Canis lupus familiaris: one gene and its partners. The protein of the gene in region 6 interacts with the protein of the main gene of each other region in a pairwise test. Links are inferred from orthologs where the notes say so. Each region holds a gene or a part of one and is shown on either strand. Other genes may lie near its edges. The genes, in order: C18H11orf68, OTUB2, EIF4EBP1, ATG9A, EIF5A2, REL and NGB.

Region 1 (4,199 bases), on a different chromosome or scaffold from region 6:
CAATATCTTCTTCTGAATAGGTCATGAGACTTAAATAATACATATGGAAGTGCCTTGCAAACTGTCCAGTGGCCCGTGACAGTCAGGGTGGGAGAAGTGAGTTCTTAGATGTGAGTTCCTTATGGCTGTACACATCATTCACCACATAAAGATGTCCAACCTAGGCTGTTGAAACCTAGCCCATCCTCTACTCACCAGACCATATGCCCTAACCTAGAAATGCCAGGACCAAGCAAATACACCCTATGCGCGGTAGCCTCAGACTTTGCTGGTTCAAGCTCCTAGATTTATGAGAAATCACTGAGAAACCGATTCTGATTCTTGGGATGGAGGAGAAGCAGGACTAGCTTTGCAGAGGCTCTCAGAGAGGCTCCCAGCCTTGGCAGTGAGGTGAATCTTATTATAGGAGGCAGTTAGGCGTACCCATGTAGGGCAGAGAAGCAGGCTTTCCTGGCCCAGCTTCTTTCCAGAGACCAAAGCAGGTAACCACCAACACAGTATTTTAAAAAACACTCAAGACACAGACCCAAACTGGGTTTTATTGAAATGCCAGGAGCAGGCACATGTCAAGGTAGTGAAGGAAGGAAGGTGGTGCAGGGAAGGAAGGAAGGTGGTGCAGGCTGTATGAGGTGGCAGGGAGGGGCAGGACCCATGTCCATGGCCCTGGCATCCCCTCTCTCTGCCAAGGGCTGAGTGGGTACAATCACCCTTCCCCCACCCTACCCCCAAAATAGCATGCTTAGGCCTGCAGGGCCTTTGCCCCCTGGACTAGGAAGGCTCCAAGAGGGACTGGAAGCACTAGTTTTCTCTCTTGTGAGGGAGGAGAAGGAAAGGATGCAGGAGAGGGAGGTACACCTGGGGAGGAGGGTGGCTAAGGAAGGCTCTCCTCCTGGGAATCTGTACCCAGCCCATGGTCCTGGATGACAGAAGGGAGCAGCAGTGAAAAGAGAGGCTGAGGGTCCGGCCCTCAGGGAGCCAGAGCCTCCAGCTGGTGGGAACTTGAGTCAGCCCTGAACAGAGGGCAAAGGTTCAAAGGGACCAAAGATGCAGGCAGTTTCCGATTGACCTGGTCCTCAGAGCTAGGGGGCTCAAACTCCTTGGGACAAAGAGGAGGAAGACAGGAGGATCCAACCGTAGCAGGGAGCTGAGTGGGAGGGGGGCAGAACGTGGTCTCCCCCAACTTGGCCACACTAGGTCAGTTCCACATTGTTGGCGCGATCCAGCACACGGGAGCCACGGGTACTGCCCCCCAGCTGAAAACGACTCTCATAGAGAGTGGGGCAGAGGTGCCAGCGGTTGGCCCGGTAGATGCCCAAGTAGGTGTAGACGTCAGGTTTGTAGGTGAGCAGGCACTTAATGCCTGCCGCACGGATGGCTGCATCTGCCTCCAGTACACCTAAACGGTCCGTGAAGTCATCGGTGTAAACACAGATGACCTGGCGCCCACCCTCCCTGGCCCGTGGGCTCACCTTGGCCACCTGAAGCTGGCCCTCGACCACAGCCCGAGCAATGCCAGCCCAGGCGTGGTCCAGCTTAAAGCCAGGTGCCAGGTGTATCAGCCACTTGCCAGACAGCACATGATGGGTGATAGCCAGTTGGCGCAGGGTACTCGGTGTGATGGGCCGCCCGCTGGTCTGCAGAGCCTCCCAGGCTGCCTGCAGGCCCTGCACATCGCCCGAGTTGGGGACATAGCCTTGCCCATATGCTGCAATCCAGCCCACGGGCTCAGAGTTGGGTGAGCCAGGGTCCCCATAGCGAGTAACTTGGGATGGTGGGTACTTGGCCAACCAGGCATCCAGCTCGGTGGCAGGTGTGGTGCGAGCATCAAACACCAGCCAGGGGTCCATGTCAGCTGCCATGGCCTCTGCGGCCAGGTGCTCAGCAGTGAAGCCATCCTCGCGGCCGCCTGGAGAGTCTTCCTCCTCCATCTCTTCACCTGGCTCCATCCTGCCATGAAGGAACAGAGTTAGAGCAGGTCCAGGACAGACGTACAACGTGCTGGGCCCTAGCTGGTGCAGCCAATGGGCTTAAACTCCGTGGCCTTAGGCAAGACTTAAGGTCTGGTGCCTCAGCTGCCTCATCTTTACAGTGGACAAAAGCTGTTCCTGTCCCGTAGAGCTATGGAGCATTAAACGCCTAAGGTGGAATAAGCGCTGCATAAAGGTTATTACTAATGCTATTACCACTCTCCCCAATTTACAGACCAGAAAATCGAAGCTCAGGGAGAAGTGACCCACCCAAGGTCACACCTGCAATGAGTGACAGGGGCCGAAATGTGAATTCAGGTGTGGGAGCAACCAGCCCAGCTACACCTCCCGGCCCTGCCCGGAACTGGCAGGCATCCCGATCGCAGGATTCAGCGGAGGGAGGCAGAGAAGCGCACTTTCGCGTAGCATCGAGGCAGGCCCAGCAGGACCAGACCCCCGGGCTGGCGCTGTCGGGCCTACTTGAGCACGAGCACATTGATGCCCGGAAAGAGCCGTGACCAGTCCAAGGCCAACGGGGCGACAGCCGGACTGGAACCCAGGCTTGGTAGAGCCTACGAGAGCGCCAGCCTCGGGCCCGCCGCGCCCGCCGCCATTAGCGCCCACAGCCCGAGCCGCGCCCCCGCCCAGCCCTGCCCCCTCCCGCAGCCCCGCCGTCACCTCCGGCCTTCGCCGCGCTCGGCGCCGGCCCAGCCCCGCGCCCGGCTACGCTCCTGCCGGGGCTCCGCGCCGCCGCCGCCGCCGCCGCCGCCCCCGCCGCGCCCCGCCCCCGCCACGGCTGCCGCCGCCGCCATCTTAGCGCCCGCCGCCTCAACAACAACTTTATAGACAAGCGCAGCACGGGGCGGGGCCGCCGGGCCTGTCGCCCGCGCCGCGGGGCGGGGCCTGCGAGGGGAGGGACTGACCCCGGGGGCGGGGCCGCCAGGGGAACCGGGGCGGGGCGGGGCGGGGCCTCGGGGGCGGGGCTAACGTTCGCTTTCCTAGGCTTGGGGGCCGGCGGGAGCGGCGCTCCGGTCCCGGATCGACGCGCACCGCCCGGGAGGCCGCAAGGGGAGGGCGCTCCGGCCCTGCGAGCGGCGTCCTGACCGGCGGCGCTAGGACCGCGTGGGGAGCGGCGGGGGCGGAGCAGGCGGCACCAGGACCCGGGGGAACCGCGGCAGGCGGGTGGCGAGCAGGCCCGGGGGCCGGGAAGCTGCGGGCGGCGGCGCTGGGCCCGGCGTGGCGAGAGAGGCCCTGAGATGCCGAGCAAGAAGAAAAAGTATAACGCGCGGTTCCCGCCGGTGAGCACGTGGCCAGGCCCCCGAGGAGCGGGCCGGGCTCTTTGGAGGCTCGGGCCCGAGCCGGGCTTGGGGAGGTTGCGTGGGGGGGCGGGCGCACCGTGGTGTTCGGGGTACGAACGCCCCGCCCCCTTCCGTGCCCTCCCGGCGTCCGGGTCCCCAGCCCTCTCTCCCGGGAGAACCTCTCTCGTTAGCCCCCAGCACCCCTTTCGGGGATGGAGGCGACAGGGTCCGAGTTTTCTGCCCCCTCCCCAGGCGCGGATCAAGAAGATCATGCAAACTGACGAAGAGATTGGGAAGGTGGCGGCGGCAGTGCCTGTCATCATCTGTATCCTGTCGGGGCCTGGCCAGGTTGAGGGACCTGGGGTAGGGAGGGAGCCCGGGGTCGCCTTGTTTAGGTTGGGGATCCCCCACCCGTGTTCTCCTTGACGCTCCTCAGCCCGGGCGCTCGAGCTGTTCCTAGAGTCGCTGTTGAAAAAGGCTTGCCAGGTGACCCAGTCCCGAAACGCCAAGACCATGACCACATCCCACCTGTGAGTGGCCTGGGAGCTGGTTGGGCCCAGTGGAACCTTGCCCCAGGAGTTCACACACTTAGGAGAGGTGGGAGGCTGCTGGGAGACCAGCAACGCCTCGAATATGGGTGGGTTTGAACTGGGGGAGGAGGGGTTGGGTGGTGTAGCAAGGCGAGCAGGTTCCGTAGTGGAGATGGGATGGAGGTTCTCCAGGCTCTATCCTCCTGATATCCATCTCCTGATATCTCCTGCTGTCCCTTGCTGAGAACCCAGACATCTGGGCCCCAGCTGAATTCCATCTTCTCCTCACCTCTTCCAGGAAACAGTGCATTGAGCTGGAGCAGCAGTTTGACTTTTTAAAGGATCTGGTGGCCTCTGTGCCTGACATGCAGGGAGACGGGGAAGACAACCACATGGATGGGGAC
Region 2 (3,500 bases), on a different chromosome or scaffold from region 6:
GGAGCTGTGCCGTTAGGGGCCTGCCATGGAGGCAGATAGGGCTGAGCCAGCACTGACAAGAGCAAGGGCCATTGGACCAGGTGTGAAAGGAGGTCAGTGCTGGCCAAGGTTTAACGGCTGTGGGACAGGGAGGCCTGACTTGTGTTAGCCCATCCTGTGGTTTAAATACTCCTGTCACAATTGGTTTTTCAAGCCACCATCATGGGGGTCACTGAGCAGGGATCAGGGAAGAGATAAACATATGCTACAGCCCAGTCATCTCTCCACCATCACACATGACAGACATATGTAACCTCAAGAGCAAAGATAATTAGGAAACGGAGTTTTAAATATTTAGCTTTGTGTTGTTGTATAATTCAAGTAATGGTGTTTAACCCCTGACTGGCAAAATCTTGAAAACTGAACAATTAGCTCTTGTGAATAGGTAGAGGGCACTGGTTGAGGGGACAGGGTGCTAAGGAGTGAAACACAGACGGGGAGTAAGTGGCTGTGGGTGGGAGGGAGGCTGAGAAGGGAGAGGAAATTGGGGAGCTAGGCAGGGGCCCTCCCTTGGATGTTTGTGCTGAGGAGCTGTGTCCTGAGGGAGGAGACTGTGCTAGGTCACTCCAGAGGTCCTTGTGGAGAAGGGACTGGGAGCATGGGAAGGCTGAGCATGGCCCTGGCCAGAAATGATGATCACATGGCAAGAACCACGGGGAAAAGGAGGAACAGAGTTCAGAAACCTTTGAAAGGTAGAATCAACGTCTGGGAGGGGATAGTGATTTCCTCAACCTCCTAATCTATGAACTGGGTGTAACACCCCCTTCCTGGGATTGTATACACTGGGGAGGAATAGAAAAGTCCGTGTGTGATCCACAGGGAAGTGCTCTGAAAGGGAGAGCAGTCACCTGGTAGTGGCACAAACCTCAGGTGTGGGGGGCAGTGGGTGTGAGCGGGAGGACACTGACTGTCACAGCAGTGCTCCATCATCATTTCTCCATGAGCCATCAGTCTTCCTTTCCCCTTCAGGTTCAAAGAACGTGTCCTGCAGACCCCAAATGACCTCCTGGCTGCTGGTTTTGAGGAGCACAAGTTCCGAAACTTCTTTAATGCTGTAAGTTAACCTGGGCAGGGTGGCTGAGGGTCCAGGTCCTTTCATGCTGGCAGAGCAGACAGGAATGGGCACTGGCTAGAGCCCCTCACAGCCCATGGTTCTGCTGTTATGCCCTTTTTGTTCCTCCCAGCTGGGGGAAGGACGGACAGCTGCTTCCAGCACGTGGGGACAGGACCCCAGGGCCCTGCCCTCCTATTGGGAAGGGGCACCTCCTTTGGGGCAGCTTTCAGGCTGGAAACATCCCCTAGTTTCCTTCATCCATTTCCTCTCCACCCTGCTCCCCTCCCTTATGAAGCCGGTGGGGTTGGAGGATTCAGTTCTGAATCCCAACAACCAGTGATGGAAGGAGACCCTAAAGTGCTGTGCCCTAGACAGGATTCTGGGCTAAGGTACACATTGCAGAGCATTTCTAACCCTCCTACTTAGCTTTGGTCCCAGATATTTATTTCGGTACCTCAATTAGAGCACTTAAAAGGGAAATACACATGGAGGGGAGGGTCCTGTGGAGAGAGTCCCATGGGAGAGGGGAGAGAAGGGGAGGGGAAGGAGGGGAGGGAGGGGAGGGAAGGTCTTGCCTGTGCCTCCCTCGACTGACACCTGGCGGAGTGCAGTTTTACAGTGTGGTAGAGCTGGTAGAGAAGGATGGCTCAGTGTCCAGCCTGCTGAAGGTGTTCAACGACCAGAGCTCCTCGGACCAAATCGTGCAGTTTTTGCGCCTGCTCACCTCAGCCTTCATCAAGAACCGCGCAGACTTCTTCCGACACTTCATTGATGAGGAGATGGACATCAAAGACTTCTGTACTCATGTAGGTCCTCAGAGTCTCAAGCTTTGGGGACTTAGCTCCCAGCCCTGGGATCTGCTGTATCAATACCCACCTCCTGGGATTGTACACACAGGGGAGGATGGTGTGTGGGCCGTGGGAAGGTGCCAGGAAAGCCCCTCTTCTCTCAGGAGACTTTAACACCATCATCCCTTGCCAGGGAAGTTGAGGTCACGTCTGCATTTGTAATCTGAAGAATAAGATTAGCAAGCCAGAAACTGATCCTACTTGAGCTGCCTGAACTGTGTGGCTGTGGGTGTACATCCATCTGAGAAATGAGGGCCCTGTTTACAAAACTGCAGAGTAGCAGCCCCAGAATCACATCTGTCTTAAGATGTGTTTTATGATGTATGGTAATTATCTGAAACGGAGCTGCCAACATTTAAACCTTGGGTAGCTTTCCTATCTGGATTTCTCTCAGAAGATCCAGCTCTCAGGGCTTTATTCCTGCATGGCAACAAACAGCAGGAGCAGAGTAGCAGCACCCTGGTTATGTGGGACACGCATGCCAGCCTGCCACCATCTCTCTGTTGCCTCTTCAGCTCTCGGACTCACTCATTCGCCTAGCCCTCTGAAATCCCTTTTTGATGTCCTCTTCCATTCTGGGATTCTCTGGTTCTGTGCATTAATAAGTCCAAGCTCAAATATTCCTGCCCCCCCACCCCCGTTTTTGAAAGTAGTGTTGTTCTCTTCTTACATATAGTTAGAGTCGGGAATCAAAGATATCTCGAATCGAGCCTTGCAGTTCTACTGTGTTTCTGGTTGCCCTTCCTCACAGGGTTTCAGTTTCCTCCTCTAGAAAGGGGGATGGAAGTATCTACCTAATGAGTTGTTGTGAAGACTATTTCCCAACATAGATGCTTTAAAAGACCCAGGGCCATGAAAGCCAGAGCTGGGATTCTCCTGTGTCCTCTGCTAGGCCTCCTCCCTAAACTGATTTTTTTTTATTCTGGCCTTGGCAGGAAGTGGAGCCCATGGCCATGGAGTGTGACCACATCCAGATCACAGCCCTGTCTCAGGCACTGAACATCGCCCTGCAGGTGGAGTATGTGGATGAGATGGACACAGCGCTGAACCACCACGTGTTCCCCGAGGCTGCCACCCCTTCCGTTTACCTGCTCTATAAAACATCCCACTACAACATCCTTTATGCAGCCGATAAACGTTGATTAATTTTAGGCCATGCAGTGGAGCCTGTCACCTAACGGGACTGCATTCTAAATGGAACATTCCGGCTTTTCAATTTTTTAAGCAACTTAAACTATAGTTAGAAAATGTACAGCCTTTTGGGCAGAGTCACTGGGAATGAGGCCTACCCATTATGGACTGTGGTAATTTGAGGATCAAATGCTTTCTAACTCAGGGCTACAAAGCCAGAACCCCTGGCTCTGCCCCCAGTTCCCTGAGGCCCTGGGCAAGTCACCTCCCCTCTCTGGGCCTGTTTCTTCATCTGGAAAAAGTATTTGCCAGTGCTCACGTTCTACTGTAAAAAATAGGCCCTCTGGTTTCCTTTCACCAGGGGCAGAACCTCTGTGGGGGAAGAAAAGCTCAAGGTCAGCTGTCGTCTGTGACTTACCTGTTCTACA
Region 3 (3,991 bases), on a different chromosome or scaffold from region 6:
GAGCGCTGGGTGTTATGCTATATGTTGGCAAATTGAACTCCAATAAAACAAAACAAAACAAAAACAAAAACAACGATTCTGCTGGTCTATTGTGTCATTGATCATTTTTAAGACTCCACAGGCTCAAATATTCATATACAACACTCCTTTTAACAAATTTATCTAAAGTTCTCCAGACTTCTAACCAGATCAGTGGATTAGCTTGTGAAAGATTAATGACCAAGAGAAGTAAACTGGCGTCTTACGAATCAAATCAACTGCTGTTTCTGTTCCTCTGGGGATGAACACCACAGTGCCATTCTCAGCAAAAGTGACCTGTGGACACTCTGATAGCTCCTGGCACTTGCAAATAAGCTACTATTGGCACCTGCACAGACTCTTTCTGGACCCTGGTCTGAAGGCTGATGCCAACCCAACCTCAAGAGTTTACCTGGTTAGAAGCATCACTTTTTGCCAGACCCCAGAGGTCTGAAAAGGTGAGGGAAGTCATAGTCCTGAGTATTCAGTGTGGTACTTAGATCAATCACTGGGAGCTGGTTAGAAATGTAGAATCTCAGGCCCAAACCCAGAACCTACAGAACCAAAGGCTGTATTTAAATGAGGTCCCCAGGTAATTCATATGTCCATTGAGGAATGAGAAAATAACATCTAGACCAGAACAAAAGGGTGCCAGAAATGACCTTAGGTTAAGCTTCTTTGAGGGTAGAGTAAAGTTGGGCTTTGGAGGAAGACTGCAAGCCTTGGCTCACTGAGGCAGACCAGACTTACTGACATTAGCAAGAAGTGTTTTTCCAAGTTATGGACTGTGAGCTGTGCCTGTCCTGCTGAACACCCCAGAGAAGAAAGCTGCCTTTAGGCTCCTGGCACTGCTAGCTCCCTTCCAGTTGGCCTCAGAAACAAAGTTATGCTCTGACCCAGGAGACCCTTTCCAACTAAAGACCTTCCAAGGGAGATTTGTTGTTGTTTACCAAAACAAAAACAAACAAAACAAAACAACCCTCCATTTCCCAGTCCAGCATGAGAAGTGGATCAGAGTTCCCTGTAAACAGTAACACTGGCCATGGCTTCCAACTGACCTGTCCCCATGCAGCAACGAAGAGTGCAAAAAAGAGCACCTGAGCCTTCAGGCCTGCCTCAGTGCCCACTCTGGACAGATCAAGTGGAGATTCACACCCTCACTTAACAGAAATCCAAAATCATCCAGGACAGATCCTGGTAGGCACAACATGACAGAGAACGCCCACCAAAGGGGTCACAAAAGACGTTTCGCAGGGATGGAGAATTTGAGTCAAGAGTGGAGCAAAGGCTCACTGAGAACTTTCCCTTTGATCATTTTTAATAAAAGAGAGAGCATTTACCCCTTTATGCTTGGATACTATTTCCTGTTCAACCTGATAAACCATGTGACGTTGGATAAGGGACATGTGTTTTCAAGTTTGGAGCCTCTGTGAAACAAGTACATCCATAATCCCTGACAGTTCTAACCTTGTATGTTTTGGATCAACCGGCGGGAGACCTCGGATCTGTCAGTGTTTGCTGGTGGTGGGACTGCTGCCTGAGAAAATAAGCATGTGGCTCCCAGACGCTGGCAAGGGACGAGGCTGCCGCCCCGCCTGCGACCACTTGCACCCGTGTCTCTCAACGGAGCGCCACTCTGCGGCGGCGTTTTGGTGCAGTCTGGGCCGGAGCGGTGGAGGAGGGTGGAGGGGAGAAGGACACAGCGGGTGAGGGCAGAGGGACGAGGATCACAGGGAAGTGGTGAGCCACGAGGATTTCATCATGCAAACGGGCGGGCAGGTTTCATCAGCGCCTGTGCGCCGGAGCTCCCGGGCTGGGAGGGAATGCCTGGCTCCCGAGGGCAGCCCAAGGCTGGCCCCCACCCGTGCCAGCTCAGCTTCCTCTTCCTCATACACTCTTAGGGAGGTCACACGGTTCCCCCTCCCCCCCGGACCGAAGAACGTGTTTTTCTGCACAGCCCTGCCCGCGGCTCCGGGTCCCTCTGCGGAGATAGCACACGCGTACGCCGGCAACCTGGCTCAGGTGCAGGTGAGGCGCAGCTGGAGCAGACGGGCGCCGTCAGCCCAAATCCCCCGTCAGAGGGTGCTGGCCCAGTGGAAAACTGGGGGTGCCCCGGGAAGGAAAAAGGATTCTTCAAGAGTCGTTTACCCCGACAGAGAACGCCCGTCCCCATCCCCTAAAAGCCCCAGGCCAGGCCTCCCCTTGCTCTCAGGCCACTCTGACCCCACGCTCTTCTGCCTCAGAACGCCCCCAAACCCACAAGGGGCAGCACACCCTGGCATGTGGTCGTTCTGCAAGCGTGCGGATGTTTCCGTAGGGGTACTCGGTTGTCTCTCCCAGGAGGAGGAAACTCATGGAGCAGTTTGCAGTCCGGGCTCGGGGGGACGCACCCAGAGGGTAGGCAATGGGCAGCGACCATCTGCTCGCTCCTGGTGGCCACCTCCGCGACCCTCGCTGCCTCCCTGATGCGCCTTATTGCAGTCACCGCGCCCCTTAGCTCGGTCGCCCCGTCCAACTGGCGGCTCCCGACCCCTCCCGCTCCGCTCAGTCAGCCCCCCGCACCGCCCGCTCTCGGAGCCCGCGCCTACCTCCCGGGGTGGTGCTGAAGAGCGTGCCGCCGGGGGTGGTGCTGTAGTCCCCGGGCGGCAGCTGCACGCCGTCGCCGAGGACCACCCGGCGAGTGGCGGGGATGGCCCGGCTCGGGGTCTGGCTGCAGCTGCTGCCTCCGGACATGGTCTCCCGCGCGCCGCGCCCGCAGCCCGAGCCTGGCCCGACGGCCGCCCCGGCCCCGCCCACCTCGCCCCGCCCCTTCCGCCCCCGCGGCGCGGCGCCCCCCGGGATTTGTAGTCCCAGCGGCGCCGCGGCGGCCGGGCTGCCGGTTCGTGCGTTCTTCCGCACCCCGGCCCTGAGGCACCCTCTCGCGGTCTGCGGTCTCCTCCGCGCGGCTGCGGGCGCCGCCCCCCGACGGCCCGCCGCTCCTGCTCGGGAGTCCGTCCGGTCCGGCTGGCGGCGGCGATGGAGCCGGGGGCTTGTGTGGGTTAACGGCTCGCGGCCGGGTGCTGTCAGAGCTGTGCGGGGACCCTTGCATACAGGAGGGTCCTGTATGGGCAGGACGGTCTCCTTCAGCGCTCCGTGTTCCGCGCTTCGGTTCCTGCCGTGAGAACGTGGGGGTTGAGTGCTCCTTCACCCCTCAGGGCTTTTTTTTTTTTTTTTGAGCCTTCGCGGGGCGCAGAAGTAACGCAGAGGGGGCGTTCCTTGGCGTGGGGGAGGGTGTGGGAGGAGCGCGGACGGGCCGCCCAGCTCGTTTGCAGGCTACAGCTCCAGCCCACCCGGGCGCTGGGAGGGGCTGGACGCCGGGGGGGGGGGGGGGGGGGGGGGGGGGGGGCGGGGAAGAGTGGGCCAGGGAGGTTCCTTGCGGCCCTGGGAGCTGGGAACCGGGGCCAACAGGCCGCCTGACACTTAGTAGGGCACTCATCGAACCGGCCAATGAATGAGGCTTCAAGGAGCTCTCCAAGTGGAGACTGAAAAATACCAGGAAGGCAGAGAAGCCCGTGGGGTGAGAGACCAGGTCTGTCATTGCAGCTACTTGATACAAGGGGAGAGGAGACAGGAGGACAGTTTATTTATTTATTTATTTTTAGATTTTATTTATTTATTTATGAGAGACACACAGAGAGAAGCAGGCTCTCCCTCTACAACAACCCAATTTGGGACTCAGCCCAGGACCTGAGCCTAAGGCAAAGGCTCAACCATGGAGCCTCCCAGGTGCCCCACGAAGAACAGTTTAAAGGATAAATTGGGGTCTGATTGTGAAGGTTTTTTTTGTTTTGTTTTGTTTTTTGTGAAGGGTCTTTTAAATCATGCCAAAGTGTTCAGACTTTGTCCTAGGAGGGTAGGAGATATCAGAGATCTCTTAAGTTGGGGAGTGACATGATTAGGGTTTTGTTGGTGGTATTTGTTTGTTTGTTTCCCC
Region 4 (3,373 bases), on a different chromosome or scaffold from region 6:
AGGGTGGATGCCAGGACAGCCAGCTCCGGGAGCAGCGTGTGGGAAGGACAGCTGCAGAGCCTGGTGCTGTCGGAGTACGCATCCACCGAGATGAGCCTGCACGCCCTCTATATGCACCAGGTGAGTGGGCAGCAAGGGGCAGAGCCACAGAGTCAAGCTGGCCACTGACAAATAGAATAGAGGGTTCTAGGCAAGGAAAAGCAAGACATGGGTCTGGAACCCTTGTCTGTTATTCACCTACTCTAAGCTCCATTCCTGCAGATACCCTTTTGCCATCCATTTTTAGGCAAGCTTATTGTCATCCGGGGCCTTGACACATTTGCTATTTCCCTTGCCAAGAATCCACTTCCCTAGATATGCTTATGGCTCCCTCCTTTAATCACCTGTCTGTTCTTAACTGTTCCATGAGACGTCTCTGGCCACCCTGACCAAAAGAGTCTCCCTTGGCCACCCCCGACTCTCCCTGCTTTTATTTTTCTCTGTAGCATTTATCTGATCTATTGCATTTTCCCTCTTTTATTTTATTGTCTCTGATCCCCCCGCACCACCTCTGCCTCCAGCATACAAGCCAAACAAGGGCTGAGATTTTTGTCTGTTGTTCAGTGCTATCTTCCTGGCACCTTGAAAGAGTGCCTGGCACTTAGATGTACCACCAACTTGTTCTTGACTCAAATGACTAGGCAAAACGAGTGCCATCACAACTTATGCAACAGGTTCGTTCCAGGGATCTGCTGAGAGTTTAACCTATAAGATGTCGTATGTGTCTTACACACTGTTAATAAGATAGTTACTCTGGGTCAGTGATTCTGGGCGCGGTGCCAGAAATGGGAACATTTGGAACAGTGTAGTGGGGGCAGCTGTTTCAGATATCCTAGCCTTAACTAATGAGTGTCACCCTCCACTCCCCACACTTCTCAGCTCCATAAACAGCAAGCCCAGGCCGAGCCTGAGCGGCATGTGTGGCATCGCCGGGAGAGCGATGAGAGTGGGGAGAGCGCCCCTGAAGAGGGGGGAGAGGGCTCCCGGGCCTCCCAACCTATCCCCCGCTCTGCCAGCTATCCCTGTGCTGCACCCCGGCCTGGAGCACCCGAGACCACCGCCCTGCAGGGGGGCTTCCAGAGGCGCTATGGGGGTATCACAGGTATCCAACGGGGGTACAGCAGGGTACAGTGGCTCTTTGGGGGGGCCTCTTGGGGAGGAAAGAAGTCAGAGGGATCAAGCCCAAAGAGACTAACCCTTACCCCCACCTTGAACAGCCCCAGAACCTTGCTCCACATTTGTGTTCGTTCTAAGACCATGTTTACTTGTGTCTCTAGATCCTGGCACGGTACCCCGGGCTCCCTCTCACTTCTCCCGGCTGCCCCTTGGAGGGTGGGCTGAAGATGGGCAGTCAGCATCAAGGCACCCAGAGCCGGTGCCCGAGGAGGGCTCGGAGGATGAGCTTCCCCCTCAGGTGCACAAGGTAAGGGCCCCAGGACTGGAGAACAGCTACCAGATGTAGTAACTTCCAGGCTGAGATCAAAGTCTCCTGTGAAAGAAGGCAGGCCTCTCGTATGGAGGTACTGTCCCTTCCCCTCCAAAATACACTCCCATTTTTTGCCTCCCCTACTCTGGAATCCAGGGCTTAATTTTCCCCTTCACTTTCCTCCCCTGGAATCAAGCTTTCCCCTTCATTTATCTCCAAGGTTTTGTGTGTGTGTGTGTGTGTGTGTGTGTGTGTGTGTTTTTGTTTTGCTTTTTTGCAGGAAGGTGGTAAGCAGATAGCTGAAGATGGTCTCCACTACTGACCCTTTTCTCTCTACAGGTATAGACAAGGCTGAGGAGGGTCCCTATGTCCCAGGATGGAGGCCACGGTTGCCCTGCCATCCCATCTGCCCGCCATGGAGGGCTCCTCTGACTGTTGCCTGGCTCCACGTGTGTGGTGTTTGTGTGTCTGTGCCTGGCCAAGGGAGGTGCCAACGCTGGGCTTGCCGCAGCCCCAGGAGAGAAATTGGGGGCCTAGGAACCAAGGCACACAGGACTCTAGCCTCATCCCCAGGACCCCCCTTGGCTCAGAGTGTGGTGCTAGAAACTGGTCCCCGGTCCAGCCCCAGTACTGCCACCTTTGCACCCACCCCTGCAAGTCTCCAGAGGACTGCCCACCACAGAAGCTGCCAAGCAGGGAGAACCTGTGCCAACTGTGGAGTGGGGAGGTTGGGCCCGGACCCTCAACCTCTGCAGCCTCCCTCCCCCACCCCGAACAGATGAGTAGCTCAGGCTGTGGCCCTTACCTCACCCCCAGTTCTCTCCCAGTGCTACAGCCTGCTCACCTCTCCTGCTTCCTGCACATGACAGGCATGTATGCCGCTTACTCTGTTCTGTTCGCTTGCTCCCGTTCTGTTCAGCTTTTGCTTCGCACTGGTGTGGAGACCCTAGCTCCCAGCTCCTCTCATGCTACCTTTTGACACTACGAAGGAAGGTTTCTAAAAGGCAGGAGCAGGATGGAAGTTCTTTGCTGCCCTCTCCAAGTTTGAAGCAGGGCCCCTGAGAGACTGAGGCCGTCCTGGCCTCCATTGCTGCTTATTGTACCCCTTAACCGCCTGCACAAAGGACGGACTGGGCTGGTTGTGCCCTCGGCTGTCTACCTCCCAGCAAGAGAGCTCTGGGCTGCCTCCCGCTGTTCCCCCCGGGGCTGGAGGGGCGACAGGAGGCCTGCGCCCGAGGCTGTGAGCTGCCGCATTGCATGCTGGGACCCAGCTCCTACTCTCCGCCCCACCCCTCGCCCGCCCGGGCCGCTGCGGGCGTGGAACGCGGCGCTGCCCGGGCTCACAGCGGAAGGCGTAGGAACTGTGTACAGCTTGATAACCCTTAATAAAAAAGGGACTTTGACCGGGCTTGTTGCGTCGCGCGGCTGGGATCCCGGGAAGGAGCGGAGTGGGGTGCGGGCGAGCCCCCTGCTGGTGGGGGCCCGGCCGGGCGGTGGGAAGGTGGGCCGACGCCGTCACTCGGATACACCGGGCGGGCCAGCGAGCAGGACCACCTCCCAGCGCCGCGCCGCGGAGGTCAAGGTCTCGGGTCGGACGTGCGGTCAGATTTCGCGCTCTGAGCACGTGACCGGGCCGGCCCCGCCCCTGTATTTTGCCTTTTCCGCGTGCACGCTCTCCCCGCGCCCCGCCCCCTCGGCGAGGCTGGCCAATGGGGGCCCCGGTAGGGGCTGGGGCCGCCCCGTGGGCGGGGCTGCCGCGCCGGCGCCGCGCCGGCCGCACGCTCCACATTCCTTGGGCCCGGACGCGGCCGGAGGGTCCCGGGCGGCGAGCGGGGGGCGGACGGACGCGCGAGGAGGGCGTGCGTGCCCTGCGTGAGTGCGCGGCGGCGGCGCGTGCGCGGGGCAGGG
Region 5 (4,025 bases), on a different chromosome or scaffold from region 6:
TGCGGACCCGTCCGGGCGCCCGGGGGTGGGGGGGCGATTCCTGCCAGAACCTCATCACCGGTCACCCAGCCCCGCCCTCGGGCTCGGCCTCGAGGCAGCGCCCACCTGCGCCTGCGGTTGCAGCTCCACGTTCCCGCCACCACTACGCAGGGCAGCCCCGTTGAAGTCGCGTGCGTCGCGCGACCTGAGGCCGTCACGTGACAACCGCCAGGCCCCTGAAGGGCCGGGGCCGCCACGCGCGCGCTCGGGCTCACCGTTGACTCCGACGGGGACCCCGGGCGCCCCGAACCCAGAAGTTCGCAGGCCCTGAGAAAGTGCTCACTTCACGCCGGAAGTGCACTAATCCGCAGCACGTGGGGTTGCCAGGGCGCGCTTCACGTGACGGGGCGGGGCCTCGGGACCCGCGTGGCCAATGGTGGCGCGGGGGGCGGGGCCTGTGACGCGCCGGGACCTATCCCGGAAGTGGGGCTGCGGCGGGGGCGGGCGGGGGCGGGGGCGGGGAGGCCGGGGTGTGGAAAGTGTGGCGGCCCCGCCCCGTCTCCTGGAACCGCCGGGGCCGCCGCCGCCGCAGCTGTAGGGGCCCGCGCCGGTGCGCAGGCGACAGGCTCGCTGTCCCCGGCTGGAAGGTGAGGACGTGGGCGAAGCCGGAGGGGCCGGGACCCCCGAGCGAGGCCGGGCCGGAGCAGGCTGAGCGAGGGAAGGAGGAAGGATGGATGGGGCAGCCGGGGCGCAGGCCCACGCGGGCCGGGCCGGGCCGGGCGGGCCGGGGATGCCGGCAGGACGGAGGGCGGAGCGCGAGCCGGCCGGGGGCCAGGTGCGGCCGCCCAGGTCCCGTTATCCCCATCGTGCGCGGGGACGCGCGGCCTGGGCTGGGCCCCCCGTCGCCGGCTGCCCCTGCGCTGGGACGGCGGGGCCGGGCGGGCTGCCCCCGGGGCGTCTAGCCCCACCGCCGCCCCCACCCCCGCCCCCGCCCCCGCCCCCGCCGAGCCCTCCTGCCACTTCCCTCCTCCGGGTGCAAAAGTTTATAGAGGCCCGAGTTAGAAAGTGCCCACTATTCCCGGGTGGGTGCTCCGCGAATGGGGGCGGGGGCGGGGTGGGGACTGGACCCGCGATGTCTGGCCCGCAGCCTGTCCGAAATGTGATGTCTCCCTGCCTTGCGTGCCCGTTGTTAAAAAAAAAAAGCGAACACAAACTTTTTTTTTTTTTTTTTTTTGCATAGTTTCCCTCCCCCCCCCCGCCCCCCGCCCCCGAGGAAGCTACGGTCGCCCCAGCCCACCATGGCGGACGAGATCGACTTCACCACTGGAGATGCCGGGGCTTCCAGCACTTACCCTATGCAGTGCTCGGCCCTGCGCAAAAACGGCTTCGTGGTTCTCAAAGGACGACCATGCAAAATAGTGGAAATGTCAACTTCCAAGACCGGAAAGCACGGTCACGCCAAGGTAAGTCAGTGCCCTTCCCCGGTCTCCCTTTGCCTTGCTGTTTTGATCATTTTGTATTCCAGTAGGGAACGTGAGATTTCCATATTTATAACTCGGCAATAATGACTTTTTTTTTTTTTTTTTTTTTTTCTTGACCACGATTTCTGAGTGACCAGCCATGGCTTTTTGAATACTGAAAGGTAGCATTTCCTTGTTTGGGCCCTTAATAATGTTTCGTTAACCGGTAATGGAAACTTTTTCCTGAATCCCAGTGATTTAGAATACATGTTCTGTTTATGGATGAGAAAACCTGTTCTAACATAACTTCATTTCTCTTACACAGTCTTATAACTGAATTCCTAGACTAGGAATTGGGTCTTGATAGGTCGTGAAGCTGTTTCGTTGTTCGCTGCTTCTCAATTCTCTGACCCCTGCTTTTTTTTTTTTTTTTTTTTTTTTTTTTTTTAAGAAAATAAAATTAGATGACCTTGGAAGGAGAAAGAATCTGTCATAATCAGCTTTGGTATTGTGCTCTTGTGTGTGTAATGAGTGATATACTTGGCAAAGATTAAACAGGTTTCCTGTTCTCCCTCCTCTGTTAGGTTCACCTTGTCGGAATTGATATTTTCACGGGCAAAAAATATGAAGATATTTGCCCGTCTACTCACAACATGGATGTTCCAAATATTAAGAGAAACGATTATCAAGTGAGTACTAGCTTCCTTTAAAATGGTGTTTTTTGTTTCTTAAAGTTGTAAATGCATTCTACTATCAACAGGAATTCAACAAAACCTGGTAGTAGTTTTGTAGGTTTTTCTAACCAGGTACTAAGCACCACCACCTATCTTAGAAATTGAAAATAGTGGTATTTAACACTTGTATCTTATCTAGAATTATAGCTGATTTGCTTTTTATTTTGACATTTTTGCATTCTTAAAAAGTTGAACATGTCTTATTATTTCTCAGACCAAGGGACTGCTTATTGTGACTAAGTTCAGTGTTCAGTGAAACTACTAAGCTTTCGTTGTAAAATATTTCCAATTCAGATAACTCCCCCCTGGATATTTTATTTCTTTTCACTTGTCAAGCCTAAGACTTTTAAGAAATCATTGGAATTCATGTTCCCCCAATCAAGTTTGTATATTATTGAATGTGAGTCAGAATTTGATATTCTTAAATAGGGAAGTGAGTTGAAAGTCTTTAATGTAAGGGATAAAGTATACCACCATGGCATATGGTAAAGAAAATACAAAACTATCTAATTGTTTTATTTACATTCAGTGACCATGCTGTGACCTTTTGTTAAATTATAGGTTTAGACTTCCAACTTGTAGTTCCAATTATACATTTGGATAAGTCATGTTTAATGATAGCATTTTGTTGTTTCGGAGTATTGGTGGTAACCAAACCATTGACCTCATAGGATGTGGGACCTCAGATTAATTATAACTAAAGTCTTTATTGTAAGTCTTCAATCTCATCGTCAAGCATACCGTATATAAAACTCTTTTTTGTTCATTTTATGGAGTCAGAAATGCAAGTGTGACACTTAGATTTTCTTCATTCATTTTAAACTGATTTCTTGCTGTACCTTTTATTCTATTATATACATGTTACCATCAACTGCAGTTAACATATGATTTCCTTTTATTTTGTACACATGTAAAAATATTTTTATGTAGTTTTTTTTTTAAGATTTTATTTATTCATGAGAGACACACACAGAGAGGCAGAGACACAGGCTCCCTGCGTGGAGCCTGATAAGGGACTCAATCCCTGGACCTGGGATCATGCCCTGAGCTGAAGGCAGATGCTCAACTGCTGAGCCACCCAGCCGTCCCTATTTTTACATAGTTTATTCTACTAAGCAGTTGTATATTTTCACTTTCCCACTTGTAAATGTTTTCTAGGTTGCTTTGGAGTCTTTCTAGAAATTTGCATTGTCTTATTATAATAATAGCATATTGAGTTTTTTTAATCAAACAATTTGGGTTTAGATCTGCTCCTGCCACTTTCTAGCTGGATGACCTTGGACAAATTATACAATCTCTCTGAGCCTCAATCTTCCATCTACAAAGGAAGGATAATGGGAGGATTAAGGAGAAAATGTATCCCATAATTACCTTATCGGTAGATATGTACCAAAAAGTAATTCTTTTCTGCTCCCCCCCCTTTGCCTTCATAAAAATTCCATCTAACCATTCCCTTGTACTTGGAACACCTAATTTAGACATGGCTTATAGTGGGTGCTCAATAAACATTTGTTAAATGCATGTGGGATTATTCAGTGAAGTAAGGATAGTGTAGCTAAGGCTAGGTATAGACTTTTCTTTTACCAAAAAATGGATTTCTGTTTTCATCCTTAACATGTGAATGCTTTGAATGTTCAATATTTATTATATATATATTAATATGTACTTAATACAGAATGCTTTTGCTTTTGGGCATTTCAAAAAGATAGTATCAGTAATTCATATGATTACTACTATGATCAAATTAACCAGTCATTGTTTGGAGTTCGAGATCTAACAAAAAGGAAAAATTTGGTTTGGGTTTTATTTGGGGATACAGCAGGGTCCAGACTAGGGTGAGGGGAACAAGGTA
Region 6 (3,500 bases):
TCTCATACAGATTTATACTCTCCCTATTCTCTGTTGTGTATAACCTGCAACCCTTTTTGTAAAAATTTGGTTGGTTATTAATATCATTTTGGCATTCTGCTCTAAATTTCAGATGACTTAGGATAGTTACTTCCTGACCATGCACATAACTTAATGAATCCTGTGACTACATGATGATCCTGATAAAAGGCATTCTTGCGATTTTATACTCTTCTATTTTGTTAGTACAGATTGGATGCTACTTAGGGTTATTGGAAATGTTGGGCAGGGAGGAGGACCTAGCAGGGTTTTAGTTCTATGTGACTATTTTACATTCTTTAAAAAAAAAAAAATGTACTATTTAGTCCCTGAACAACAGCTGCTGGATATTGAAGATTGCGACCTCAACGTGGTGAGATTATGTTTTCAAGTTTTCCTCCCTGATGAACATGGTAATTTGACAACGGCTCTACCTCCTGTTGTCTCTAACCCGATTTATGACAACCGTAAGTACTTTATTTTATTGTATTTGTATTGTATTGTATTTATATGTTTTTTAGTTTAATTTTTTAAAGTATTTTGGCAATTAGAGAAAGTTTGTTCATTATAAGAACAATTCAAGCATTACTGAAATAACAAGAAGACTAGATCTTCTCTGATCTCCTCCTCCAAAGATAATCTATATCCTCAGGTACATATTTCACCAGTTTCTTCATATATAAAAACACATTATCACTATCCTTGATACAATATACTTTTAGCAACTTAAATCATCACAGATCCTTTGGAAAAAAATTTTTTCTCTTAGCAATGGATCTTGAGCCTTTTCCCTTTGAGGTACCTTGTTCCCTTCAGTAGCTGCATATTTCCTTATATGGCTGTATCATCATCTTATTAAACCAAACAAGGTATTTGGTTTGTTTCCTTCTTGATTTTTTCTCTAATAAATTGTATTTCAGTAAATATCCTGTATATGCATATTTTGTGCATATGTGTCTCTAGCATAATTTTACAGTAGTATGAATGTTGGCAAATCCTGGATCAAAGGATAGGGATATTTATAGTTTTAAAAGATTATGAAATTGCCCTGAAAGTTTTTGTGCACACGTGTACATATTTGCTCTTATATATGCATCCATTCCTGGTATATGATGGCCTATTTTGCATCTAGAAGCACATAGGCCTATAATGGTAGATCAGGGTATCCTTCTCACGGAGAATTTTGAATTGCCAGGGAGAGTTACTGAAATTATATTCCTAATAAAAGGGAGCGTGAAATCACCTTGTTATAGGGTTATAGTCATGATTTAAGAGATTAATCTGGTGACAGTGTATGGATGGATTGAAAGGATGAGAATTTAGGAACAAGGAAATTTAACTAGTGGACCTATTATTGCTGAGAAATGAAGTCACAAGGCTATAGACCAGGGTGGGCTTGTCGTCAGAAAGGAAAAGGACAGGTGTGAATGATTAATGTACTTAATGTCCTTAATTTCTTTATACACTAAAGCTTTTATCTGTCCTATAAATTGTTTCCCTAGAATTCTCACCATCAAAAAAGAATAAAAATGGGACCCCTGGGTGGCTCAGCAGTTTAGCGCCTGCCTTCGGCCAAGGGCATGATCCTGGAGTCCCAGGATCAAATTCCACATCGGGCTCCCTGCATGGAGCCTGCTCCTCCCTCTGCCTATGTCTCTGCCTCTCTCTCTCTCTCTCTGTGTCTCATGAATAAATAAATAGAATCTTTTTTTTAAAAAAAGAATAAAAAATATTACTAAGACAGAAACTCATTAAAAAATCCTTTTTATTTAGGTGCTCCTAATACTGCAGAATTAAGGATTTGTCGTGTAAACAAGAACTGTGGAAGTGTCCGAGGTGGTGATGAAATATTTCTACTATGTGATAAAGTTCAGAAAGGTATTTATTTATTTGTTTCATTGAATTTAGAATATGCAGATCTTCTTTGGCTTACAGTGGGGCTATACCATGATAAATTCACTGTAAATTGAAAATAATCTTAAATTGAAAATGCAGTTAATACACGTAACCTACCAAACGTCGTAGTTCAGCTTAGTGTACCTCAAACATGCCCAGAAAACACATTAGCCTATAGTTGGGCAAAATGACCTAACACAAAGCCTACTTATAATAAAGTATTGACTATCTCATGTAATTTATTGAAAACTGTACTGAAAGTGAAAATCAGAACAGTTGTGAGTATATCAGTGGTTTACCGTCCTGATCATGTAGCTGACGTGGCTTGCTGCCACTGCCCAGCATCTTCCGAATGTCATGCTGCCTATCACTAATCCAGGAAAAGATCAAAATCTGAAGTACGGTTTCTACTGACTGCATATCACTTTCACACCATCATAAAGTCAAAAAATTGTCAAGTTGAACCATCATCAGCTGGGAGCCATCTGTATTTTAGATTAATAGATGGATTTTGTTTTCCATTGCTGTTCCTTTGCTTTTATATTCATTAGATGACATAGAAGTTCGGTTCGTGTTGAATGATTGGGAAGCAAAAGGTATATTTTCGCAAGCTGATGTACACCGTCAAGTAGCCATTGTTTTTAAGACTCCACCATATTGCAGAGCTATAACAGAACCAGTGACAGTAAAAATGCAGTTGCGGAGACCTTCTGACCAGGAAGTTAGTGAATCAATGGATTTTAGATATCTGCCAGATGAAAAAGGTATGAGTTCTTGGTGGTAAGGTTTTATGTATTTCTTAAAGTTCTCCTAATACCATTTTCTTGTAAGATACGTTTGCATACTGTTAGGTTTATTTATAGTTCACGTTTTATTTCCAGAAAATTTTTCGGTGATTTTTTTTTTTTAACCTATTGATATTTATGCTCTTTGTATTCCTGTCTTTGGAAAGGAATCTAGAATAATTTCAGAGTATCTGAACTGTTTACCAAAATTTATTTTATATTTGAGGTTCTATTTTTGTCCTTATTGTGCCCTTTTTATAGATGGAAAGCTTGCCATTCAGAATGGTCTCCATTTTGGTTTCGTCCTTACCTGCCCTTATTGCGTTAGTTGACATTGTTAACTTATAGGTGTTATGAGAAAACAAGATGAGTATTAGACCCTTTACTACCTACTTGGGACACATTCTGCAACACTTAATAAATCCAAAGCATATACATTTGTTTAAAGCACTTTATGGGAATAAAACACCTGTTTTTTAAAGGAGAAGCCACATAAACCTATGATGATCTACATGTTTTCCTCGTTTCTTTTTAACCAGATACTTATGGCAATAAAGCAAAGAAACAAAAAACAACTCTACTTTTCCAGAAACTGTGGCAAGATTGTGGTAAGAGTATTTGATTTGTATTTAAATAGATTTTGGGTTTTTTGCTTTATTCAATTTTCCAAATTTTAGCTGATGTTTTTTTAAATTGCATTTAATAATGGAAAAACTTTATCACAGCAGTTAATTTTCCTGAAAGACCTAGACCTGGTACCCTAGTATCAACTGGAGAAGGAAGATTCATCAAAAAAGGTAT
Region 7 (3,926 bases), on a different chromosome or scaffold from region 6:
TGGCTCAGGTCATGATCTCAGGGTCGTGGGGTCCAGCCAGGTGTGGGGCTCCTTGCTCAGCGGGGAGTCTGCTTCTCTCCCTTTCCTTCTGCCCCTGTCCTACCTCCCTAAAAAAGAGAAACAGAAAGGTTTAGGCCTGACACGGGGTCAACTTCACATCCTGAATGGCAAGCATGAGATTCCACTACCTGGACTTCAATTTAAAGAACAAAATGGTACTTCTATTTAAAATTTTTAAAAAGCCTATTGAAAACCATGGAATAGTAGAATGCTGGAACTTGACTCCCTTGAAGTCCAGGTATTCAATGGGTCACAGCTGCTGTGCGCAAGACCCGGGGCCTGGCCAGGCCTCTAGAGCCGGGGCCAGACCTGGAGCTCACAGATTGCTAAAGATGCTGCCTAGGGAAACCCAGGCCTGGCTGGAAATGGCTGCAGTCCTGCCGCTGTCCCTAAGGCTGGGAGTCCCAGTGGGCCCAGCGAGCCGGGATGGAGGTGGAGGTGGTGGGCAGCCTGCCGGGCCTCGTCAGAGCCAGAGCAGGGCGGGGGCCTCCCCAGCCTCAGCCGCTCACACGGGGCCCCACGTCGGGGCGGAAGGAGGGAGACCCGGTGCCAAGGGGGCGCAGGCTCTAATGCCTCCAGGTAGTCCTCGAGGGAAGGCTGCGGAGAGGTGGCCCGTGCAGAGCCTCCCCAACGCCGTCGCCATCGGGTGCGATCGGTGCCCCAAGCAGCAAGCGGTGGAATCGTCACCGGGTCCTGGACGAGAAACGGGCCCGGAGAGGCTCGACGCTCTCTGTTGAGCTCTGAAGCCCAGGCGTTTCCGGGCCACCGGGTCGTCCCCGGCCACAGCCGGTTGCCCGGGGCTGAGGGCCTTGACGGACGGAGGGGGCGGGGGCCGCGGCGGCTTTAAAGCGCCGGGTCGGGCGGCGCGGGGCGGGGCGCTGTGGGAGCCGCGGGGCGCAGGGCGCAGGGCGCAGGGCGCGGCGGCCGGAGCGGGGTCCCGGCGGCGCGGGCGGGCGCGGGCGGGCGCGGGGGGCCGCGGGGGGCGCCGAGGGGCCCGCGTCGCCGCCGACATGGCGCGGCACGTGCGGTGACGGTGGCCGCGCCCCCAGGGCGTCCGCGGGCGAGCATGGAGCGCCCCGAGCCCGAGCTGATCCGGCAGAGCTGGCGGGCGGTGCGCCGCAGCCCCCTGGAGCACGGCACCGTGCTGTTCGCCAGGTGAGGGCCCGCGCGCCCCGGGCGGGGAGGGGGCGGCGGGCGAGCCCCGGCCAGAAGGGCGCGAGCGGGGCTTCCCGGCGGCGGGTCCCGGCCATCTCCGGGCGCCCTCGGCGCGCGCCGCGCCCCTCCCCGCTCCGCTCGGCTCGGCTCCTGAGCGGGCCCCCGGGTGGTGCCTGAGGGCGCCCCGAGGGCTCCTGCGCCGCGGCCAGGCCCGGGGCGCGCCCTTGGAGGACAGGGCCGGGCTGGGGCCGGGCTGGGGCCGGGCTGGGGCCGGGCTGGGACCCGAGAACCGCGAGACGCGGCCGGGGCCAGGGGGTGCGCGGGCCCCAGGGGGAAAGGAACAGCGGCCCCTCTGCCATCACCAAGGGCACGGCTCGGACACCGTGGTTTCTCCGGAGCTTTGGCCCCCAAAGCCAGCCCAGAACTTCTGAGGAGGCTGTTTTGCAAAACCGCCTCCCCAAACAAAGGGGGAATCGATTAGTGGGGTTACCCGAAAGCCCCATGAGCCCTCTCAGATGTGAATGATGAGCTCCCACTTGGCGCCTCCCAGCTTTCCCTAAGCCCGCTGTTGTCTCGGGCCCCCTCTGTGCTCCTGCTACTTCCAAGCTGTGTGACCGGAGGCAAGGGACTTACACTCTCTGGGCTTCTGCTTCCTCCTCTGTAAGAGTTGGGGTAACAGTTATACCTGCTGCTGAGGACTGTGAGGGATACAGAAGTTAACCACATGTAAAGTATTCAGTGCCCAGGAGTTCTTTTCTTTAAAGATTTTATTTATTTATTAGAATACACAGAGAGGAGAGAGAGAGAGAGGCAGAGGGAGAAGCAGGCTCCATGCAGGGAGCCTGACGCGGGACTCGATCCTGGGACTCTGGGATCACGCCCGGAGCTGAAGGTGGTGCCAAACCGCTGAGCCCCTGGGGCTGCCCTAAGGAGTTCTTAATAGTGCTGTTATCATCACTGGCCGAGCCTCTGCAGACATGATGAGACTAGGAGGTTCTGACCCAAGAGTGGAAGGGAGACAGACAGAGACAGACACAGAGAGAGAAGAGGAAAGAAAGGAGAGAAGGGCTTTCCTATTTGAGGACCCCTCCCTGTCCCAGCCCCCTGACCTGTTTATGGAGGGCTGCTCTATGCCAGGTCCCGGGAGAGGATGACCCTCGGAAGCAGTGGAAGAGGTGAGAAAGGGTCACCAGCAAAGCTGGCAAAGGGGTCAGTGCCCAGTTGGAGGGGGTGTTCTAGCTCCCAGCTGAATCCCTGCCTCCCCACCCCCACCCCAGCCTGCTGGGCAGCCAGGGTGCGCGGGGCTGGCCGGGGCCTGGGGGGACCAACACCCCAGGGCTGACACGTGGGTCTCCCCCGACAGGCTGTTTGACCTGGAGCCTGACCTGCTGCCCCTCTTCCAGTACAACTGCCGCCAGTTCTCCAGCCCGGAGGACTGCCTGTCCTCCCCCGAGTTCCTGGACCACATCAGGAAGGTGAGGAGGAGGCGGGGTGGCCTCAGATCCAGCAGGACGCCTTCCCAGGAGAGAGTGAGGGACTCGGGCTCCTCAGGAGAGTGACTTCTGCCCTGGCCTGGTCTCATTCCCCTCTGCCGCTCCCCCAGGCCAGAGATGTCTGCTCCTTGCCCTATGTGCTGGGCTGGGCAGAGCCTGGGGCACCGTGTGTGCAGCCAGCTGGTCCCCAGCTCCCAGAGATGGTACTGGCACTGACCCACTAGGGGCCATCTGCCTCTGACGCCCAGGCTGGGGTTCCCTAAGAGGCTCATGACTCTCACAGTGCCTCAGTTTCTCCTTGTCTGGGGCAGACAGCACCATCCCGCTGTCGTGTTTAGGGCTTTGAGACCCTAGAGGAGAGGAGCTGCCATCACAGTCTAACATCAGTAGTTTGGCCACATGTTGAGTGCCTACTGTATGTACACACAGATTGCCTTGCATTTCTTTTCTTTTTTTTAAAAGATTTTATTTTATTTTATTTTTTTAAGTAATCTCTACACCCAACATGGGGCTTGAACTTGCAACCCCGAGGTCAAGAATCTCACACTCCACCAACCGAGCCAGCCAGATGCCCCATGACCTTGCATTTCTGATCCTGGCAAACCGAGGGTCCTGGTGACCTCTCTTACTCCTGGTTGGATCCCCAGATTCTGGACTGTGGTTATGAGCAGGTGGGATTGTTCTGGCCTCTCTGATTCACGGCTGCGTTGGCCTTGGCAGGTGATGCTCGTGATTGACACTGCTGTGACCAATGTAGAGGACCTGTCCTCGCTGGAGGAGTACCTTGCTGGCCTGGGCAAGAAGCATCGTGCAGTGGGTGTGAAGCTCAGCTCCTTCTCGGTGGGTAAAGGGGCTCTTGCTCTCTCTGGAGCGCCTCACCTGAGGCCCCAACTCTCCCAGTCCTCCCTGTTCATCTGTTCTTTCTCCCTATTCCCATCCCCTCAGATGACTAGGACCAGGCGGGGTGGATGGTGGGGGGGCTGCATCTGTTACTTCTGTGCTGTGTGACCCCTGACACTGCCTTGACGACTCTGAGCCTCCAATTTTTCTTCCCTGGTTTGGCTTCTCTTAGAACCGTGGAAAGTTAAAGAGCTTCTGGGATTGGCCAGTCTTCTCAGTTTCCTGTTACCGTGTATAAAACCATCCCAAGCAAACGATTCCTGATTTCTCTGGGTTCGGTGGGACAGTGCTTTAGCTCCACACGAAGGGGCTGGTGTC

What was found.
Region 1: the proteins of REL (region 6) and C18H11orf68 interact in binary tests that used the Homo sapiens proteins (3 or more experiments, as listed by UniProt). The two-hybrid records come from large-scale screens. The link is inferred for Canis lupus familiaris from reciprocal best matches to the Homo sapiens genes REL and C11orf68.
Region 2: the proteins of REL (region 6) and OTUB2 interact in binary tests that used the Homo sapiens proteins (3 or more experiments, as listed by UniProt). The two-hybrid records come from large-scale screens. The link is inferred for Canis lupus familiaris from reciprocal best matches to the Homo sapiens genes REL and OTUB2.
Region 3: the proteins of REL (region 6) and EIF4EBP1 interact in binary tests that used the Homo sapiens proteins (3 or more experiments, as listed by UniProt). The two-hybrid records come from large-scale screens. The link is inferred for Canis lupus familiaris from reciprocal best matches to the Homo sapiens genes REL and EIF4EBP1.
Region 4: the proteins of REL (region 6) and ATG9A interact in binary tests that used the Homo sapiens proteins (3 or more experiments, as listed by UniProt). The two-hybrid records come from large-scale screens. The link is inferred for Canis lupus familiaris from reciprocal best matches to the Homo sapiens genes REL and ATG9A.
Region 5: the proteins of REL (region 6) and EIF5A2 interact in binary tests that used the Homo sapiens proteins (3 or more experiments, as listed by UniProt). The two-hybrid records come from large-scale screens. The link is inferred for Canis lupus familiaris from reciprocal best matches to the Homo sapiens genes REL and EIF5A2.
Region 7: the proteins of REL (region 6) and NGB interact in binary tests that used the Homo sapiens proteins (3 or more experiments, as listed by UniProt). The two-hybrid records come from large-scale screens. The link is inferred for Canis lupus familiaris from reciprocal best matches to the Homo sapiens genes REL and NGB.

Annotation. Positions count from the first base shown.
Region 1 is NC_049239.1:51,853,655-51,857,853, reverse strand, and holds C18H11orf68 (UPF0696 protein C11orf68 homolog), read right to left. Parts: upstream 2,780-4,199; coding exon 2,646-2,779; intron 1,948-2,645; coding exon 1,191-1,947; 3' UTR 501-1,190; downstream 1-500. Other genes in the region: DRAP1 (dr1-associated corepressor), read left to right, coding at 3,224-3,265, 3,518-3,590, 3,702-3,795, 4,094-4,199.
Region 2 is NC_049229.1:63,438,388-63,441,887, forward strand, and holds the end of OTUB2 (ubiquitin thioesterase OTUB2), read left to right. Parts: intron 1-1,008; coding exon 1,009-1,093; intron 1,094-1,704; coding exon 1,705-1,899; intron 1,900-2,876; coding exon 2,877-3,083; 3' UTR 3,084-3,136; downstream 3,137-3,500. UniProt on the Homo sapiens protein: Hydrolase that can remove conjugated ubiquitin from proteins in vitro and may therefore play an important regulatory role at the level of protein turnover by preventing degradation.
Region 3 is NC_049237.1:28,145,290-28,149,280, forward strand, and holds the start of EIF4EBP1 (eukaryotic translation initiation factor 4E-binding protein 1), read right to left. Parts: upstream 2,801-3,991; 5' UTR 2,752-2,800; coding exon 2,607-2,751; intron 71-2,606; exon of another isoform or gene 1-70. UniProt on the Homo sapiens protein: Repressor of translation initiation that regulates EIF4E activity by preventing its assembly into the eIF4F complex: hypophosphorylated form competes with EIF4G1/EIF4G3 and strongly binds to EIF4E, leading to repress translation.
Region 4 is NC_049258.1:25,643,392-25,646,764, reverse strand, and holds the end of ATG9A (autophagy-related protein 9A), read left to right. Parts: intron 1-2; coding exon 3-120; intron 121-560; coding exon of another isoform or gene 561-644; exon of another isoform or gene 645-821; intron 822-918; coding exon 919-1,141; intron 1,142-1,316; coding exon 1,317-1,462; intron 1,463-1,804; coding exon 1,805-1,810; 3' UTR 1,811-2,873; downstream 2,874-3,373. UniProt on the Homo sapiens protein: Phospholipid scramblase involved in autophagy by mediating autophagosomal membrane expansion. Cycles between the preautophagosomal structure/phagophore assembly site (PAS) and the cytoplasmic vesicle pool and supplies membrane for the growing autophagosome.
Region 5 is NC_049255.1:35,577,921-35,581,945, reverse strand, and holds the start of EIF5A2 (eukaryotic translation initiation factor 5A-2), read left to right. Parts: upstream 1-1,225; 5' UTR 1,226-1,277; coding exon 1,278-1,442; intron 1,443-2,023; coding exon 2,024-2,128; intron 2,129-4,025. UniProt on the Homo sapiens protein: Translation factor that promotes translation elongation and termination, particularly upon ribosome stalling at specific amino acid sequence contexts.
Region 6 is NC_049231.1:62,305,008-62,308,507, forward strand, and holds part of REL (proto-oncogene c-Rel), read left to right. Parts: intron 1-344; coding exon 345-485; intron 486-1,791; coding exon 1,792-1,896; intron 1,897-2,465; coding exon 2,466-2,678; intron 2,679-3,238; coding exon 3,239-3,307; intron 3,308-3,424; coding exon 3,425-3,496; intron 3,497-3,500. UniProt on the Homo sapiens protein: Proto-oncogene that may play a role in differentiation and lymphopoiesis.
Region 7 is NC_049229.1:50,400,725-50,404,650, reverse strand, and holds the start of NGB (neuroglobin), read left to right. Parts: upstream 1-1,126; coding exon 1,127-1,215; intron 1,216-2,578; coding exon 2,579-2,690; intron 2,691-3,428; coding exon 3,429-3,548; intron 3,549-3,926. UniProt on the Homo sapiens protein: Monomeric globin with a bis-histidyl six-coordinate heme-iron atom through which it can bind dioxygen, carbon monoxide and nitric oxide.